Sus scrofa: one gene and its partner. The protein of the gene in region 1 binds, or shares a complex with, the protein of each later gene. Links are inferred from orthologs where the notes say so. Each region holds a gene or a part of one and is shown in the gene's direction. Other genes may lie near its edges.

The links. The genes of interacting proteins can lie anywhere in the genome.
Region 2: the proteins of POLA1 (region 1) and PRIM1 are in contact, whole or in part, in a cryo-EM structure (PDB 7OPL), measured with the Homo sapiens proteins. The link is inferred for Sus scrofa from reciprocal best matches to the Homo sapiens genes POLA1 and PRIM1. Residues at the interface, in NP_058633.2 of Homo sapiens: Tyr439, Ala440, Pro447, Glu448, Lys449, Ser450, Phe876, Thr877, Thr878, Gln880, Leu906; in NP_000937.1 of Homo sapiens: Asn92, Thr93, Val94, Lys95, Leu96, Gly97, Ala98.

The regions. Positions count from the first base shown.
Region 1 is NC_010461.5:20,759,607-20,763,252, forward strand, and holds part of POLA1 (DNA polymerase alpha catalytic subunit), read left to right. Parts: intron 1-2,536; coding exon 2,537-2,661; intron 2,662-3,646. UniProt on the Homo sapiens protein: Catalytic subunit of the DNA polymerase alpha complex (also known as the alpha DNA polymerase-primase complex) which plays an essential role in the initiation of DNA synthesis.
Region 2 is NC_010447.5:22,086,469-22,090,717, reverse strand, and holds the start of PRIM1 (DNA primase small subunit), read left to right. Parts: upstream 1-1,304; 5' UTR 1,305-1,356; coding exon of another isoform or gene 1,357-1,459; intron 1,460-1,729; 5' UTR 1,730-1,883; intron 1,884-2,172; coding exon of another isoform or gene 2,173-2,276; coding exon 2,277-2,330; intron 2,331-4,249. UniProt on the Homo sapiens protein: Catalytic subunit of the DNA primase complex and component of the DNA polymerase alpha complex (also known as the alpha DNA polymerase-primase complex - primosome/replisome) which play an essential role in the initiation of DNA synthesis.

The DNA.
Region 1 (3,646 bases):
GGTCTCATGTTACCCAGGATATGGCAGAACTTGGTTGTGCTGCTGCTTTCGAATCTCCCATCCTCCCATTCACTCTTCGCTCTCCTGTCCAACTTTCCTTCTGCATTGGCTTCCTCTCGCTGTCTGAATACACCTTGCATTTTCATCCCTTTGTGCTTTGCCTCATGCCTTTTCCTTTGCTTGTGCCGCTTGTCGCTCTGTATTCTGATGGTGAAATTCTGTGTTGGAAACCTCCCCTGTGAAGCTTTCTCTGATTTCCCAGGCAACATTAATGGCTTTCTTTTCTGCTTCCTTAATACCAGGTTCTTACCTCTTACATGGTACCATCTTTATACGATGGTGGGAGCCTCAGGCCTTTATGCTTTCCTTGACTGGGAGTCCCTTGAGGACCAGCAGCTCTGTCTTACTTGTCATTGTACCCCAAACCCTTAGACTGGCACATTGTTGCCTGTGGAGTAAGTCTTTTTGAAGACCTGTAGAATAATTTTGTCAGAATAATCTGATAAAAGAGTCCAGGGCGTCTTGAGGGAATACCCTGAGGCCAACTTTTCCCTCTCAGTGGTCTTGTTCAGTAATCTCCTGGAGCCTTTTTGTGTCAGCCTGCTTATAATTTTTTGAAATCATTTGAGTGACACCCAAGATTTTGTGGCTGTCAGCATTAAGTACCTGCATTCTTTAATTTTTACTTAATGCCTTTCTGAAAATGGATTTAAAAGTCAAATGTGAAAGTCAAACAATAGGCTGAGATGTTACAAAGAGATTCCATTTCCAGAAAGCTAGGGAAAAAAATAGGATCTCTAATTATGCCACACCTTTAAGATATGGTTTTCAACAGTTTATTGCCAGCATTTGGTACATGTCTGTAAATTGCATCTTCTATTTCATTCAAACACTTAGTCAAACAGCTTCATGTTGTTATGAACGTTCCAGTGGGGTTGGAGCTTTTAGGATGCCTGTTATCAATACTTCCCCTTTTCTGTGCTCTTTTTTTTTTATAAAATAATAGCACCAAGTACAATAAGACACTCAATTTCAGACTTATGTGCCAGTCGTGGTGAGCATCAACTCATGGCTGCCAGGCGGCACTGTCTTGCTTGACTTGATTTTTCGCCAGCTGGTATGTGAAAGTCTCCATTCTGTGGATGAAATCTTTTCAGTATGTGTTTATGATGATCAAAAGCATGAATAATTCAAAAGTTGAATGAATGACCACTGAGGCCCTCGGGTACTTCACTAATTTTCCACAAAAGATTTTAATCTTTGTAATTTTTTTTTTTTTTTTTTTTGGCCATGCCAATAGCATGTGGAAGATCCCAGGCCAGGGATCAAACCCAAGCCACGGCAGTGACAACACCTGGATCCTAAACCCACTGTGCCACAAGAGAACTTCTTGATCTTTGTAATTTTTGACTGTCATGCTCTAATGTCGCAGCCAACTGCTCGAAGCCTGGAAATCAGTGGTAGAATCAAGAATCTCCTCAGAGCCATCTTCGTTACATTCTCCTGATTTATCCTTCCTTTGAAATTCTAGACATTTTATCTGAACCTCTTGTTAGGGTATGCTTTACTTCTAAAAATTGTTTTAGAGTTAGTTGCTACTTACTGGCTTACCTTGTTTTATGGTGCTTTGCTTTATTGCAGTTCACAGATACTGTGGTTTTTTTTTTTTTTTTAAACAAATTGAAGATTGTGGCGCCTCCGCATGAAGCAAGTCTACTGGCGCCATTTTCACATTGATGTTTGCTTATTACTTCATTTGTCTGTATCGAATTTTGGTAATTCTCACATTTCAGATTTGTCATTATTTGTTAGAGTGGTCTGTGATCAGTGATCTTTCATGTTACTACAAGTCACCGAAGGCTCAAATGATGATGAGCATTTTTTAGCAACAAAGTATTTTTAATGGAGGTATATACTTTTTTTTAATGACATAAGGCTTTTGCACACATAATAGACTCCAGTATAGTGTAAACATAACATTTATATGCACTGGGAAACCAAAAAAAAAAAAGAAAAAGAAAAAGAAATTCGTGTGACTCACTTTATTGCTATCGCGACACTCACCTTATTGGTGGTGGTCTAGGACCCGAACTTGCCTTTGTGTCTTGCAGAGCGCCTGGTACTTTGCAAAGAGAGGGTGCTCCTTAAAGCCTTTCAAATGTTTATTGATGGAATACAAAATGAATTGTCCTCTTATAGCTACTTATGGGCTATCATCACCAGTGGAAAGGTTACTGATCTCCCTTCTTTAGTGTCTCCAGGGAATATCAGTTGAATTTGGAGTTTTTCTCTTTTTGGAGGACAAAAATAACAGTTGTTGCTTCAGCTGAAAATTTCTGAGGAGCCATGGGAACTGGAGATTCAGTCCTGAGCTTGTAAATTATTTACACCGGAAAAAGTATACATTTGTGTAACATGAACATTGTATACTACATGAACATTGTATATTACTATTGGCTAAAAACTATTGCTTTGTTTTTGAGGGAAGATGGCTGACAGTTTTGTAACATCTCATGCAAATTTGGCTTTTCTACAGCTATGTCAGATTCAGGGAGTCTTGCAGCTTCGCGATCCCGGCGAGAGAAGAAATCCAAGAAAGGGCGACAGGAAGCTCTAGAAAGACTGAAAAGGGCTAAAGCTGGTGAGAAGTATAAATATGAAGTAAGTAACCATTTTTCTTTTTTTTTTCACTTGTAGTTCATCTGTTTCATAGCCTGTAGCTAATCCTTTGTCCACTTTGTCACTCATTAGAAATATGCATTTATTTCAGACTTCTTATAACAGTAATTTTTAAATACTGAGCACATATGGGCATGAAGTAGATTTAGATGATGGGTGATTACTCAACCCTTAGAGTTCCTGTGAGACACTTTACAGATGCTTTTAAAATTTAGAAATTTGGAGTTCCTCTTGTGGCTCAGTGGTAAGGAACCTGGCTAGTATCCACGAGGATTCGGGTTTGGTCCCTCGCCTTGCTCAGTGGGTTAAGGATCCAGCATTGCCATGAGGTGTGGTGTAGGTCGCAGACTTGGCTCAGATCCTGAGTTGCTGTGGCTGTGGTGTAGGCTGGCAGTTACAGTTCTGATTTGGCCCCTAGCTTGGGAACTTCCACATGCCTTGGGTGTGGCCCTAAAAAGACAAAAAAAAAAAAATCTGGAATTAAAGTAACTATATATTTTTCATTTTTAAGCACACTGCATCTCTGCTAAGTTCCATAGCTTTGTTGGGGGAACTTAGAGATGCCTTTACTTTACTCACAAGGTATTGAACAGTCTAGCTGAGCTCTGCTTCTTCTTAGAGAGAATTATTCTTCCTCATCTCTTATGCGTGGGGAGCGTGGGAGGACTGGACCTTCCCTCTGCTGTGTACTGCGTGTAGGATAGAATGTGATGACCTTTTGGCTCTTTCCCTCTACCCATTGTTAATGGGCTGCAGGTAAAAAAAGCAGAGTGGGAGTTCCCGTCGTGGCTCAGTGGTTAACGAATCCAACTAGGAACCATGAGGTTGTGGGTTGATCCCTGGCCTCACTCAGTGGGTTAAGGATCCAGCGTTGCTGTGAGCTGTGGTGTAGGTCACAGATGCGACTCGGATCCCGAGTTGCTGTGGCTCTGGCGTAGGCTGGCAGTAACAGCTCCGATTGGACCCC
Region 2 (4,249 bases), on another chromosome or scaffold:
AATCAGCTAAGATTTATATAGTATTTCTAGGAATACTCAAGTAAGTATGATCTGCCCAGTGCCTAGTTTGACCACTTTGCCTATGCAAGATGAAGGGCCATGATCACTTTCAAATTAGGCTAATAATAACCCACTAGAGAGCAGAGAATACTCTCCTTGCTTTCCTACTATTATTGTGAAAATAATGGTTTTCAAATGACACAGCACTGGGGTGATTATCAGACTGCCCACCTCAGTCCACATTTGTAATGAAATGTATCTACCTGGTAAGACTGACTGGCAGATGTGCATGTCAAGAGTAAACAGGCTTCTTTCAAATTTGTAAAGCACTCCATGATTTTGCAAGCTTCCTCTGATTTTAGTATTCCTGGGTGTTCTGTTTAAGCGACAATGTAGAAACAAACGATGACCAGACCATATAAAAAAACAGAACTCTGACCCACAACCTCTCCAATGCCTACCTAGGAAACCAACCCCCTTATCTATATAATAAATAGCCCAAGAAGTCAGGCTGCTTTAAGTCAGACTTGTAGGAAATCAAACTAAAGTCTCTAGTGATATTCCAGGAAGCCAAATACCCTACATAACAATCCATCCAACATAGCCAGTACTTGATTAATAACTGACAGCTTCCCTAATTTTTGTCCCCACTCTCAATTTAGGACCAACCGCAGAAAGCCAAATATGCACCCCTAACCTATCACATAGGTCACATAGGATACCCCGCTCTGAGGTAGCCCACAGACAGCTTCCCCATAACAAATAGCTTTGCATTAGAAAAAGAGTGAAACCTGCCCCCCCAAAGCTTTCTCCCCTCCTCTGCCTGCGTTTGAGCCTTTGCCAAAATGTAATGTGATGTGGCTGACTCTATACATGGCAAGCTCTTGAATGAATAGCTTTTGCTTTTCTTATTTGGTTGGTCATCATTTATTTCCACATACTGGACCTAGTTATTCTATGAAGAACCAATTTCCAAACCCTCTTTAAAAAGATACTGGTTAACATTGTTTAAATGTGTTGTTTCTAAAACAGTCATAAAGTTAGCAGATAACATCTTTTTCACTTCATCTTAATAACCTTAATATGTTCCATGGCTCACCTTTCCGCAGATCTCCCTGCAATGAGCACGGCTTCCTTCTACCCACCAGAGAAGTGGACCTACATGTTAAATCTGTGAGTGAAGACCGTAGTAGCGCTCCCACACCCAAGCCAACCTCCAAAAGAGAACTACAATTCCCAACAGCCCCTGCAGATGGCTGGCCGCTGCCACTACGCGCCTGCGCAGTTGCGGAAGCTCGACTGTGCGGTTCCCGCCAATTCTCGTGCTAATCCTGCCTGGGTTGAGTTCTGCGTTTCATGGAGACGTTTGACCCTACCGAGCTGCCCGAGCTGCTTAAGCTTTATTACCGGAGGCTCTTTCCCTACGCCCAGTACTATCGCTGGCTGAACTATGGCGGAGGTGATGAAGGCGGGAGCGGGGTGGGAAATGGCTCGGGGTGGGGGGGGAGTGTGAGGAGGTTCTGGGAGGGTACCTTGGAATGACAATATGAAGTGCCTTCCATGTTCCAGGCCTTGTGTCGGGCGCCTTTGTGCGTTGCCTTGAGCCCTCCCCACCACTGCCGAGGTGTAAATGGGCCTAGAGTGGGATGTAATGACCAGTCTACACCACGCACTGAAAGACAGAGCCTTTGCTCCTCCCACTTTGTGTTTGAACTCACTTTCGTTGCAGCGTTTACCTGCTCTGATGCAGTGTTAATCTTCTCGGTTCCTGAGCGAAGGTGGCGGAGGTGGCGGGGAGCAAGGGAGTCCACTGGGTTGTAGCAAGAAGCTGCAGAGACATAATCTGCATCAGGGACAGACGGGCATCTCCTGAAAGAGGAGAGGTACTTAACTCTTCCCAGCTGAATTTGAGTGCCCACCTAGGAAAGAGAGGTGGTACTACATGAAAATATTTCTGCATCTTTTTCCTCATTTTTACCTTTCCCTATTAAATGCAGGATGGTGAACTCCTTCAAATTAGGGACTAGTTCTTGGTTTTGGTTTTTGTTTTAATGTAGCACAGTGTTGAGTACAGAGGGTTCGTGAAAGATATCTTCTTGTTGGTTAATGTTTTAATACTCTGAACTGGATAAAATACCATACTAACTTTTAAAATGTATGTTCATTTTGCAGTGGTAAAGAATTACTTTCAACACCGTGAATTTTCATTCACGTTGAAAGATGACATTTACATTCGCTACCAATCTTTCAACAACCAGAGTGAGCTGGAAAAGGAGATGCAGAAAATGAATCCATACAAGATTGATATAGGCGCGGTATATTCCCACAGAGTAAGAAATCAGTTTTTTATGTAGTTTATTGTTTTTTTAAACCAAGAATGGATTGGTGCCCCTAGCGTTTTGAGATACATTTTTAGAGTTTATTCTAATTAAGGAGCCACACTTTAACAGTTTTTGCAAGTAGATTGTAGTGAAAATAAAATTTGTTCTTTGATGGGAGTTCCCGTTGTGGCGCAGCAGAAATGAATCCGACTAGGAATCATGAAGTTGCAGGTTTGATCCCTGGCCTTGCTCTGCAGGTTAAGGATCTGGCGCTGCCATGAGCTGTGGTGTAGATTGCAGTCGAGTCTGGGATCCCACGTTGCTGTGGCTCTGGCGTAGGCCGCGGCTACAGCTCCAATTTGACCCCTAGCCTGGGAATCTCTACATCTCTACAGCGGGCCCCAGAAAAGGCAAAAAGACAAGAACCAAAAAAAGAAAAGAAAAGAAAAGGTCCATGAAAGAAAAGATATTTGACACTTTGTGTATCTGGAGAATGTGTTTATTCTACCATTATGCTTAACTAATGGTTGAGTTTGTAAACCATTTTCCCCCAGTATTTTGCATTTTTTTTTTTTTTTTTTTTTTTTTTAGTCTTTTGTCTTTTTAGGGCTGCACCCATGGCATATGGATGTTCCCAGGCTAGGGGTCCAGTCGGAGCTGTAGCCACCATCCTATGCCACAGCCATGGCAACGTAGGATCCAAGCCGCATCTGCAAACTGCACCACAGCTCACAGCAACACTGGATCCTTAACCCACTGAGCAAAGCCAGGGATCAAACCTGTGTCCTCATGGATACTAGTCAGATTTGTTTCTGCTGAGCCATAATGGGATCTACCCTTTTTTTTTTTTCTTTCTTCCTCTTTATGGCATATGCCAGGGGTCAAGTCAGAGCTGTAGCTGAGGCCCATGCCACAGTCAGAGCAACACCAGACCTGAGCTGCATCTGCAACCTATGCTGCAGCTTGCAGCAATGCCAGATCCTTAACCCACTAAGAGGCCAGGAATCAAACCATCATGCACATGGACACTCTGTCCAGTTCTTTTAATTTTTTTTTTTTTTTTTTTTTTTTTTTTTTTTGTCTTTTGTCTTTTGTTGTTGTTGCTATTTCTTGGGCCGCTCCCGTGGCATATGGAGGTTCCCAGGCTAGGGGTTGAATCGGAGCTGTAGCCACCGGCCTACGCCAGAGCCACAGCAACGCAGGATCCGAGCCGCGTCTGCAACCTACACCACAGCTCACGGCAACGCCGGATCTTTAACCCACTGAGCAAGGGCAGGGACCGAACCCGCAACCTCATGGTTCCTAGTCGGATTCGTTAACCACTGCGCCACGACGGGAACTCCGTCTGTCCAGTTCTTAACCTGTTGAGCCATGATGGGAACTCCTGCACTCCCTTTTTTAATTTTTAATATAATTTTTCCTACCTATTTTCTCTGGTCTCTAGAAATCCTACAATCAGATATTATGTCCTCTAATTGTATTTTTTTTTTTTTCTATTTTAAATTTCCTTTTTCTCTACTTTCTGGGGAATTTCCTCAGAGGTTTCCTTTTCTGCTATTATATTTAAAATCTCCAAGAAGTTTTTTAGAGCATCATGTATTTTTTTCACTGACATATATTACCTGAGAATATCAATAATAGTTTAATTTTTTTGTTACACCATCTGTTTTCTCTAAAGTTGCACTTTTTCTTTGTTTATTTTTTCCCCGTTCTTTCATATTGGAGGCTTTCCTCATATGATAAGGAAAATTTCCTCCAGTAATTTCTTGCTTGTGCTTATATTTAAGAATAGAGGGAGTTCCTCTTGTGGCTCAGTGGGTTAAGGACCCGACATTGTCTCTGTGGGGATGTGGGTTTGATCCCTAGCCTCACTCAGTGAGTTAAGGATCTGGCATTGCCACAAGCTGCGGCATAGGTTGCAGATGTGG